Linked DNA regions of Mus musculus: regions 2 and 3 are each reported to be linked to region 1. Evidence: microRNA targets listed by miRTarBase, many of them from high-throughput screens and not tested one by one. Region 1 holds a microRNA gene; each other region holds the end of a gene's coding sequence.
Evidence for each region. The annotated mature microRNA mmu-miR-124-3p reads UAAGGCACGCGGUGAAUGCC and lies in region 1 at 1,416-1,435, opposite strand. An mRNA with a match to its seed (bases 2 to 7 or 8) in the 3' UTR can be bound and repressed. Matches are read on the target gene's strand: a 7mer-m8 pairs with bases 2 to 8, a 7mer-A1 pairs with bases 2 to 7 and ends in A, and an 8mer does both.

Region 1 (3,341 bases):
GCTACTCTGCCTCCCTAGTGAGCTGTGCTCTGCAGTATGGTTTTCTCTGCACTGTGGGATTCAGGCCTCCTAGGACTGCAGTACCTCCTGTGAGGAGCGAGGCTCACTGCCAGCTCCTGGGCACCATCACCCTGCCACTCTGTGGGCCTTGGCCTCAGAACTCAGTAAGGAAAGCTGTCCCACAGAAAGCCTTGCTGAGAGCCACGAGAGTGGTTGCAGGCTTCTCTACTCCTGCCTGCTCTGGTCACTAAATCAACCTCAGTCAGAACCTTTTAAATATATTTTGAGGCACACTCTAGGGTCCTTTGAGAGGTATCTTTGGTGACCATATCTGAGATAAGATCCTCAACTGAAAACCGTGTGTTTCTCTTTTCAAGATTGTGATTTAAGAGGAAAAAAAATCTATTTAATCTCTCTCTAGCACATTTTGTTAACTACTCGGGTTTCTGGCCAAATCAGCTGATTGTCAGAGTGGATGGTTTCAGCAAAATACTGTTTAGCCTGTCTTTCCGTATTTCAAGGTTTTTATTTGTAAGTTAACTAATATCCTGGGGTATGGGGCTGGGTTAGAGAAGAAGCGATTCTATAATTCTATTGCCTTGTTTGCAGAATTACCACAAGAGGAGGGGGAGGAGGTAATGGAGGAGGAAAAGAAAGAGGAAGAGGAAGATGATCCTGTCAGCAAGGCGAGGGTGCGGCCACTTTGGGTTATCCTTCTCCAGCCTCTCCTTTGTTCCCAGGCCAGATAGGCCACCACAGAACAAAGACTTCCACCAAGGCTCTTTCTCAGCGGTGGTTTTCTTAGGCTTTCGGGTTATGGAACCTACCTTAACTAAGTACCTCATGGTCTTCCAAATACATTAATTTACCAAGTCTTAGAGTTCCTGGCTTGGCCTTTCCCTCTTATTGGACAATATTGACTGATTTGGGTATTGTCACTTTGCCTTGGCCTTTTAAATCCAGTCAAGGCTACCATGAGACTGGGTAAAGAATGGGAGAATAGTGAAAAGCTTGGGGCGGGGGTCCTATTTTCACTGATAATTGAGTCATTTGAGGTTTCTTATGCAGTGTGGTCTGGGGTTTCTCATCCGTTTTGTTTTCCCAGTTCGACCCAGAATTTTATTTGGAAAAGGCCAGCACTCTCTGAGTGCCATCTCTTAGACCGTTTGCACCAATGGGAACTACAGCTCTCCTGACAGCTGTCAATGAAACCTCTAATATTCCCCTTGGGAGTATGCATGCGGATTTCCCAGATTCTCGCTGAAAAACATTTGACTGTCTTGTATTCTAAAGATTTTGAATCAATGCGAGGGGTCCTTGTGTCGCACAGGATGGGTTCATTCTAGAATTGTTTCTCCCCACCCTTCCTAACTTCTCTCGGATGTCCTTCAAGTGCAGCCGTAGGCTCCGCTCTTGGCATTCACCGCGTGCCTTAATTGTATGACATTAAATCAAGGTCCGCTGTGAACACGGAGAGCAGAGTCTCTGATCTTGATCTAGAAGCAAGTGACTCATTGCAACTATTACTATAATTTTCTCCCTGCCCTTCACCCTCTCTTGGAGCTCTAGGCTTGGAGTCCCTACTCCTAGAGTTGTAGCTCTGAGCAGTACTCCCACCTCAGCTTTCCTCCCGCCACATCTGTCAGAGTTGCCATTAATTAGTCTGCAAGGTTGAAGAGTAGCGGGTGCATGAGTCTGCGATTCTTATGCATACATCTGCATGCCATTTACAGCGCACCTAAAACCCATACATATGTCTATAAATCTAGTTTTCAAATGATGACATGGATCGAAGTTAATTACCCCTCTGGTACAGATCTAATTTCGTAATCGTGTTATTTTACTGAAGGCAATTAACTGAGTTGGTTCGCCCTGAATGCCGTCCTAAGACATTTGTAAGGAAAGGCAAGTCTTTAAGGACCACACCATGAGTGTTCTGCTGCAGAAACCTTTGTCACTCATCCCCTGTTGCCAGAGATCTAGCAGAAAAAGCGAATATAATCATGCATGTTTGTATGTCCGACAAACACACGTATACGCCTTTGATAGCCCGATTTTGGTTGGGAAATTTTGGGAAAAGATCAGAATCCCAGGCCGGCTGGGTCCTCCTTCTTTGTATTGCGGAAAAATTAACTCAACAGCACCTGCCGAGTCCCGGGAGAGCTGGGGCCCATCTGGTCTGGCTATGATTTTACTGCGAAGAGAAAAGGCTGCTTGCTCGGGCTTCCTCCGGCTCTGGAGAGCAGAGATCGGGTCTGAGCCCGCTCTGGGCGTAGATTTAAGGGCAGCGCAGCAGATGCGCTCTCTCTGACTGCGGCGGGAGTCAGGAGGAGATCCGAGTCTGGGCTCGGCGGAGGGAGGGCAAGATGGAAAGAAGAAGAATGAGGGGAGTTGACCTCTACGGGCGGAGCCCTCTGGACGGCAGGCCGGAGGCGGCAAGCAGCGGCTCTTTTCACAGCATCCCTTGCGGCTGGGTGGGCCAGGGGGATGGACGGACTGCGCTCGCCTGAAGAAAGCCAAAGGGCTCAAAAGCAGGTTTTGTGCGGAGACCCCAGAGCGCTCCCCCTGAAAAACAGAATCAAAGCGCAGAATTAGAGCAGGAGGGAGGAGGGGGAGACTGGAGAGGAGGGACAGGAGGAGGGAGGAATCACTCTAGGGAGCCAAGGTGACCGGCCGTCCGGACCTATAGAATCGAGCTCGGGGAGCCCCTGCAATGTGCGGGGCGACAGGGGAGTTCCCAACTCAATCCCGGCTTCGGAAGGTGAGAAGATGCAGTCAGGACGAGAGAAATGTTTTCCTGAGATGGAGTCTTGAAAGCGAGTCCTCAGATTGTCCTCTGTGCAGTCTCAGCGATTTGCGCATCCCGCGCGCCCTTACCCATCTAACCCCTCCCTCAGACCACACGCCAGAACCGCATTCTCCAATCTCCACCCCTTCTTGGTTTAGAATCCTGCAAACTGCAAGACTGAAGAGTTCTCGCATGAAAATCGAAATGATCGATGAAATAAAGAATTTCATATAGGCATAGCCCTAGAAATCCAAAGGCGAAAGAGCTGCTAGCTCTGCTCAAACCTGCAGAGGACCAAAGCGTTTTCAGGGGCTGCTCCGCGTGTTCTCGGAGGAAAGAGGAGGCTGAGTGGTTTCCGCGATATAAGGTGCTTTAGGATGGGCGGTGGGGGCAGGGAGGGGGTGGATCGTAGCGGTCCGGTCTTTCCCCCTCGCTTGCTGATCCAGAATTAGGGATTAATGGCTCGCTCCAGCCAAACAAATAAGGCATCTGCCTTCAGCACAAGAGGATTACACGGGCTGCTGACGTCACCAGTCAGACAGATGTTGGCTCC
Region 2 (3,341 bases), not on the chromosome of region 1:
ACAAATAAATAAATTATTCAAGAAAAAAAAGAATCTTTGTTTTTTAAAAAGAAAAAATAATAGGATGATTAATATATAAGTTCTCTCTCTCCCTGAATTATGTGGGGTGTCCTTAGTTTATTTTTCAGAGGCCAGACCTGCTATGCCCAGGAAGGTCTGGGGGTAAGTAAGTGGTGCAATGTTGATAAACCCATGACTGGTCGTCACCAATGATGTTCTTCTCTCTCCTTTCTCTGGGATATAGCCAAGCCCATCCGCCCAGGCCATTACCCAGCATCATCTCCGACAGCTGTCCATGCCGTCCGAGGAGGAGGAGGTGGCTCTTCAAACTCTACTCACTACCAGAAATAAAGCAGAGTGAGTCCTGCAGCCTGGGGTATTTTCTCTTTGCAGCAGCCCCGGGGCCTACCTGGGGGCATTGCCCTCTTGACACTCTGAAACCCTACCCTGGCCTTTAGCCATATTCTCTAATAGAGATATGTTCATCTCTGTTCCAGGAAGAGGGCTGGGATCCAGGTAAGAGAAATCTGGGCCTAGCTTTGCCAGCCCATATAGCCAAAGGATCCTCTAGTCACAGGGCTGGTGCAACTCTGAGCCAGGCATGGCCTAATCACCTCTCAGGTTGATGAGTGCTTCATCTAGGGTTTGGACTGTGGGACTTCCCTCCGCAGCTGAATCTACAAAGCGAGACAGAAGTAAGGGGTGGCTTTAAGTCTCAGGAATGGGATACAATGAGCGGGTTATGAGTCATATTTTTATCATTATTGTGAGCCTCGATAAATGGGGGTTTGAAGAATGTGTAGTTTATATTTAAGTGGGGCTAGACCACTTTTTCTTTGAGACAGCGAGTGGTCTGTGAGCCCCAGTTCCTACCACTTGGATGTTCATTATTGCTCTGACAGTAAAAGAGTGATATGCTTTTGGGAGAGAAACAGGAAGAGGTACGCCTGTCCCTAGTAGCTGAATACAGAAAGATTCCCAGTCAGGCTGGCAGTGGATAGTAGGGGGCTCAGAAAACCGCAGACTTGGAGTGTGTAGATGGAAAGGGATGATCACAAAGTGACTCCTGGGCTCTGAGCCCTCACTAGGGAGGCTAGCTGACAGAGCAGGGGAGCATCAATCAAGGCATGCCTTGGTGATCCAGAGCAACTGATTTAGCCAGTGCTTTTAGAATCGCATTTGAAGTGAATGGTCCAGGGCAGAATGACGGCATTACTAAGGCCCAGCTGCAGGCTTCAGGAAGGGTGCTTCTGTGTAGCTTTACATAAACAGCCAGGAATTAGCCAAGGTCTGGCCAGGTGAGTGGGAACCAGAGGGCAGGCCTAGGCCGTCTGCACTGGGCCAACACACTGGGAGTATCACTGTATCTCAGTGAGTTGGACTGTAAGTCACCCATTCAAGTCCAAAACGTGCTTCTAGTCTGAAATAAAATCAAATTGGATATTACTGAATTGTTTTTGATTGCATGTTGTCAGGACCAAGGACAAAATCTGAAAGGTGGCTATTGGGGGCTGTTTAGGAAAAAAAAAAAAGCCTCAAATTCTTGTGTGGGCTGGAGGCAGAGGGCAGGGGTGGGGTGTGCACTTAGCATGTAAGGGAACTGGGTTCAGTACAATGCAACAGTAATAAAGGTACCAGCTTAGGTAGGTAAAGGACAACAGGCCAGGCTACTAGCGGAGTGGGGCCTACCTGGACTTCTCTGTTTTTAACCAAGAATGGCCAGTGGTTTTGATATCCAGCAAAAAATATAATACCTACTTCTCTGTAGTAAGCAGGGCTCATATACAATGATAGTTTCTCATGGGCAGGAAGTGCAAGGGCTGGGTATAGTTAGTAAGGTCTGTAGAGACCACAGAATCTCAGACTATTAGACTCTGTCCTCTGTGGGTGCCTCCTTTCCTTGGCGTTGCCTCATGGCCTCCAGAATGACTTCTGCTAGACCTTCAGCTCCGTGTCTTCTTTGCAGGAGTTGTATCCCAAGAAGAAGCCAGGGTGAGGCAAAGGCAGCTCTCCTGGCCACAGCAGCCTCCCTCAGAGTACCCATGCAAAACTGAAGTCTAAATGCCTGGATCAGAGGCATGTGGCCACATAGGAGACTAGAAAAGGCAGCTTTATCTGGGTACATTGGCGCCCCAGAAGGGAGTTAGGTTTTATATTGTTGTGAGCATAATACTTGCAGTGGTAACCTAATGGGAGAAAGATCATTTCTGACTCCTGGTTTAGAAGCCTCAGTGTCACAGAGGGGAAGGTGGTAGAAGAAGCTTAGTTCCTGGAGACAGGAGCACTATACGTCATGTAGGGCCAGGATGCAGAGAAGGCGGCAGGAAGAAGGGATAGGGAGAGGTTTCAAGGACTGCACCTCCTAACAGTTCACTACCAAGTGTTTATCAAGCACAGACTACGGGAGAGGGATTTAGACTGCAACAAGAGTCATGTTTTTAGGAGAATAAGAATGGATGGTGGGGTGGATACTTAGCAGTCTGGGCAACATGCAGTGTGTAGGTTGTCATTTGATAAAAGCACATTGTGAGCTCTGACCTTCCAACAAGTTCTTAGTAAATACACTGTCCCAGGGTTTCCAGACTATGTTTTAAATCCCTCCTCATGGAATTCAGTAAAACTCTGCCAAACCTACACAAGTCCGGGTTGACCTGGGACTTGCTATGTAGCCCAGACTTACCTTGAACTCACAACAGGCTGCCTGCCTGAGCCTCCTGAGTGTTGGAGTCACAGGTGTGAGCTACCACAGTAGATTTAAAACTCGACATTTTGTGTAAGGTTGATCATTTGTCACTGGTATGACCTCTTATACTGGAGACTGAAAAGTCACAACTTCTCTGACCCAGAACTTCAGAGGGGGTGACCTAGATGTCTATCTAATGCCAAGCATTAAGTAAGCTCCCATATCACAGCAACAGTATGTTGTCCTTAAGAGCTCCACCAGAGGTTTTGAGTTTCTGTACTGTGCCATCATTTACGAAAGGAAGTTTCCCTCTATGACCAACTTCTGAGAGCAACAGTGATCCACTGGCACAGATATTTAGAAGGCAGCTTGACAGCCACATCACATATCTTTAATAAAACCATGATAGCTGTTTTCCACTGTGGCCTGTGAACATCCCCAGCCTCAAATTTTTGTTGTCTCTTACAGTACCAGAAGCAAATTCTCCCCTGTAGAGTGGTTTAAGTCTAGTTGGAAAGCAGTTGGTCGTACCCCAATCATCTGTGCCGCTGTTGTACCTGTAGTCACATCTTGCTTGGCACTTTGATAGCATGGCATGCAGGGTCCAGAAGGACTGTTGGTGACAATTTCTCCCCCAACAGCCTGCACAGCACCTCTG
Region 3 (3,341 bases), not on the chromosome of region 1:
AGGGTGGGAAGCACTAAGCAGGTGACCCCTTGAGAGCCAGCTGGGCTCCTGTACCTGCATGCCCTTGGGGATGGTGATATGGGTTGGTTCTGAGCACACGGGAAGTAAGAAACAAGGCTCTTCTGTCTGTTCATTCCCAGGGGATGTCTTCCAGAAGCCCTATGTGTCTGGGGAGGCCGATGCAGCATCCAGAGAGCTAACGGGCTCAGAGGACTACCTGTTGCTTGCTTGTGATGGTTTCTTCGATGTTGTCCCCCACCATGAAGTCACGGGTCTCGTCCATGGCCACTTGCTCAGGCACAAGGGCAATGGGATGCGTATTGCTGAGGAGCTGGTGGCTGTGGCCCGTGACCGGGGCTCCCATGACAACATTACAGTCATGGTGGTCTTCCTTAGGGAGCCCCTGGAGCTGCTAGAGGGTGGAGTCCAGGGGACAGGGGATGCCCAGGCAGATGTAGGAAGCCAGGACTTGTCCACTGGCCTCTCAGAACTTGAGATCAGTAATACCTCACAGAGAAGCTAAGTGGTCCAGGCCTCCAGGCCCCATCCGGACTCTCCCTCTGCCCTCGTGATCCTCCCCTTCAAAGACCTTAGATCCAAAAGGTATAGTGGGCAGGGGTGCACACTCTCACAGCATTCCCTTAGCACCCCAGCCCTTCATGTTGCCTACCACAGCCTGTCCTCATGGCTGCAGAACTGCAGTAGGCAGCTAGTGGATCTCAGAAGGAAACATAGGAAAATGGCCTCACCGAAGAGCAGATGGCTGAGGTGATCAGGGCCGGACAGGTCTGGGAACAGAAACCACAGGCACCTGCTGGTAGCCTAACCAAAAACACAGGTCAGGTCTTGGAGGACCCTCACACAGATCCTGGAATGAGATCTGCAGCCAGGTGTCCAGCCCAGGCTTGTGGCTTCTCATTGTACCCAAGGCTGGGAGGGTTTGGTCTGTACTAACACACAAGCTCGCAGTCCTGCTTGACTGCTGGCTTCCCAAAGAGGAGACATTGGTCTTGCTGGGAGGCACAGCAGGAGAGTGACCCACTGCCACTGCACTCTAACTGAGTACTAAGGCCACTAGGGCTTTCTAGACCTCGCTTTCCCCTTGAGCTTCCTGGGGAGGTGAAGTGAGGTGTGTGTGTGTGTGTGTGTCTTTGTGTGCTTAGATTTATTGCAGGGAAAGGTCTAATCCAGAATCAGTATTCAGGCTTTGTCATGTTGTATCAGTGCCAAGGTGACCCTCAAGGTCATGTAACTTAAGCAAAGCTTAGCATTTATTTTATTCCTGAAAACTTAAGTATTTTACTTTTTTGTGTGTTCGTGGAGACATTTGCAGTATTAATGATTTTATTTTTCCTAAATCGGGATGGAAACAAACTTTTCCAGGTTATGTTAATAAGCCACTTAAGTGCCTTAAACAGCTTTGGTGTAGATGAGAATTGCTGGGTCCGTCATGGATCCTGATAGGCAGACGTGTTGAGGTTCTCAAAGAGGCTGCATTTGTTGTGGGAAGGCACACTTTCAGCCAGCACTCTTTCTGGGAAAGTCCTTTTGTGCGTCTGGGCACCTCAGAACTTCCTTGAAGTGATGGGTAAAGGCTGTGACTATGGGCACCTGGGGTGACACTGGCCTCCTTGTCCACCTTGGAGTCTGGCTGGTTCCCAGCTGAGAGAACCTTACTGCTCTTGGCTAGAAGATTGACACACTCAATCTCTCTTGAAACTCTCTTAAGTGTGTTTGCAGTTATGTTGATTGAGTTGTTGAAGACAGTGCTTAGGTGAGGAACTTGGGCAAGCCCAGCAGTCCACCATCTTTCTCCTGTGACTTGTGTCCTAACCTGCTAGACTCTGTCCTGACCTGAGCAGCATGAAAGACCTCCACATCCCTAGAGCAGTGATGGATACAGTCAGGCAAGGAAACCAAGTGAGGGTTGGGGGGGATACCAAGAATAGAAGGACTAGGAGGCCCTCAACAAGGGCCAAGCGAGTCAAGGCTGCTCTCTGCAGACACTGGCAGGTCCAGAGAATAATGGTGGCTTAGCAGAGGCTCAGGGAAGGATCAGTAGGAAGAAGGGTGGCTGTGAGGTAGGTCCCCATGAAGGAGACATAGTTCACCTGTAGAGTGAAAGCCCTAGCAAGACTTGCAGAGCTTTGTTCATTGCACCTAAGCCCTCTTTGAAAAGAAGCAAGGGAGCTCATACTTATTCCTCTGAGGCAAGTTCACTTCCAGCAGTAGGAGAGCGAGCCAGCCAAATGCAGCTGGGCACCCACCTGTATGCTTGCCATTTACCCATTCCCACAGCAGGGATGGAAGAGCTGGGGCCATGTAGTTGATTCCTTGATCAAGTCTCCTGATAGGAACGTGATCACTCAGATGGCTGCCCACCTAATAGCTAGGTATTGCTTAACTTGAAGGCCTGCTGCCTTCCGGGGGGGGGGGGGGTGTCAGAATCCAGCATCCTCAGTGCCATCTCAACACAGGGTGTGGTTGTTGGTCCAGCCTGCCTGTAGCAGTGACCTTCATAGAGGGAGATAAATTGATTTTGGTTTTCTCCCATTTTTGCTAACCTGATCATTGCTGGTAAGAGTGGAATTTGGGCCTCCTTGGTGGTCTGGATTCATACTCGCATGTAAAGATGTGCCAAATATCAAGGCCTCAGTGTAAAGGGAAGCCCCTTTCCCAGGCTTGTCTGAGTGCCTCCCCCACCCTTCCCCCTGTCTGGCAATGGTCTGGGACCAACATCAGGCACTGCTCCATCCTGATCTAGTGGCCAAGGAAGACCACATTCTCCTACTGTTGAGGGCTGGCCTTGAGCGAGTTCCTAGGTACAGAGAACTCTTTTTGTCTGGACTGGAGTTGCCAGTACCAAGCCTACAAGACTTGTTGGCCACCTCCTCCTCAGAGTCTCTTCCCAAAAGAATCCCCTAGCCAGGATAATGGGTGGCTTAGTAGAGGCTCAGGGAAGGAACAGGGAGAAGGGTGGCTGTGAGCTCAAGTCCCCCTCTTTGCCACCATCACATTGTGTGAGCGGAACCAGTCACTGCACCTCTCAGGCCTCAGGGAAAGGCATGGAGGGCATGCATAGCATTACCAGGAGCTGCCAGAGCACGGGAGCCCATCCTCCACCAGCAGCAGAGAGGGGTTAAGTATTATTAGTGTCTATTCTTAAAATTAAGTGGGCTGGAACAGAGCTGAGTTACAGGCGCCAGTGTCTTACACAGATACAAAAGCTGAAGCCGTCAGCCTGCCTTTGCAGGTACAGCTGCCTCCCAACCAAGGCCTGGAGGCGTTAAGAGGTGGGAGGGCACAAGCAGGCTTTCAGGAGTGTTGAAGCAAGGGATCTG

Region 2: miRTarBase lists Kif5c as a target of mmu-miR-124-3p. The part of its 3' UTR that is shown has no 7-base or 8-base seed match.
Region 3: miRTarBase lists Ppm1f as a target of mmu-miR-124-3p. Seed matches in the 3' UTR shown: 8mer at 1,406-1,413.

Annotation. Positions count from the first base shown.
Region 1 is chr3:17,793,817-17,797,157 of GRCm38, reverse strand. It overlaps Mir124a-2 (microRNA 124a-2), which reads right to left and starts at 1,496; the gene lies at 1,388-1,496. Mir124-2hg (Mir124-2 host gene (non-protein coding)) reads right to left here. Exons shown (of 3, transcript NR_033490.1): 2 at 2,145-2,565. Gm51272 (predicted gene, 51272) reads left to right here and starts at 1,417; the gene lies at 1,417-1,473.
Region 2 is chr2:49,758,566-49,761,906 of GRCm38, forward strand. It overlaps Kif5c (kinesin family member 5C), which reads left to right. Exons shown (of 26, transcript NM_008449.3): 25 at 245-357. The coding sequence ends at 351. Among named protein-coding and RNA genes, the nearest start is that of Gm46738, 13 kb to the left of the region's middle.
Region 3 is chr16:16,923,500-16,926,840 of GRCm38, forward strand. It overlaps Ppm1f (protein phosphatase 1F (PP2C domain containing)), which reads left to right. Exons shown (of 8, transcript NM_176833.4): 8 at 141-3,341. The coding sequence ends at 523. Among named protein-coding and RNA genes, the nearest start is that of Ppm1f, 29 kb to the left of the region's middle.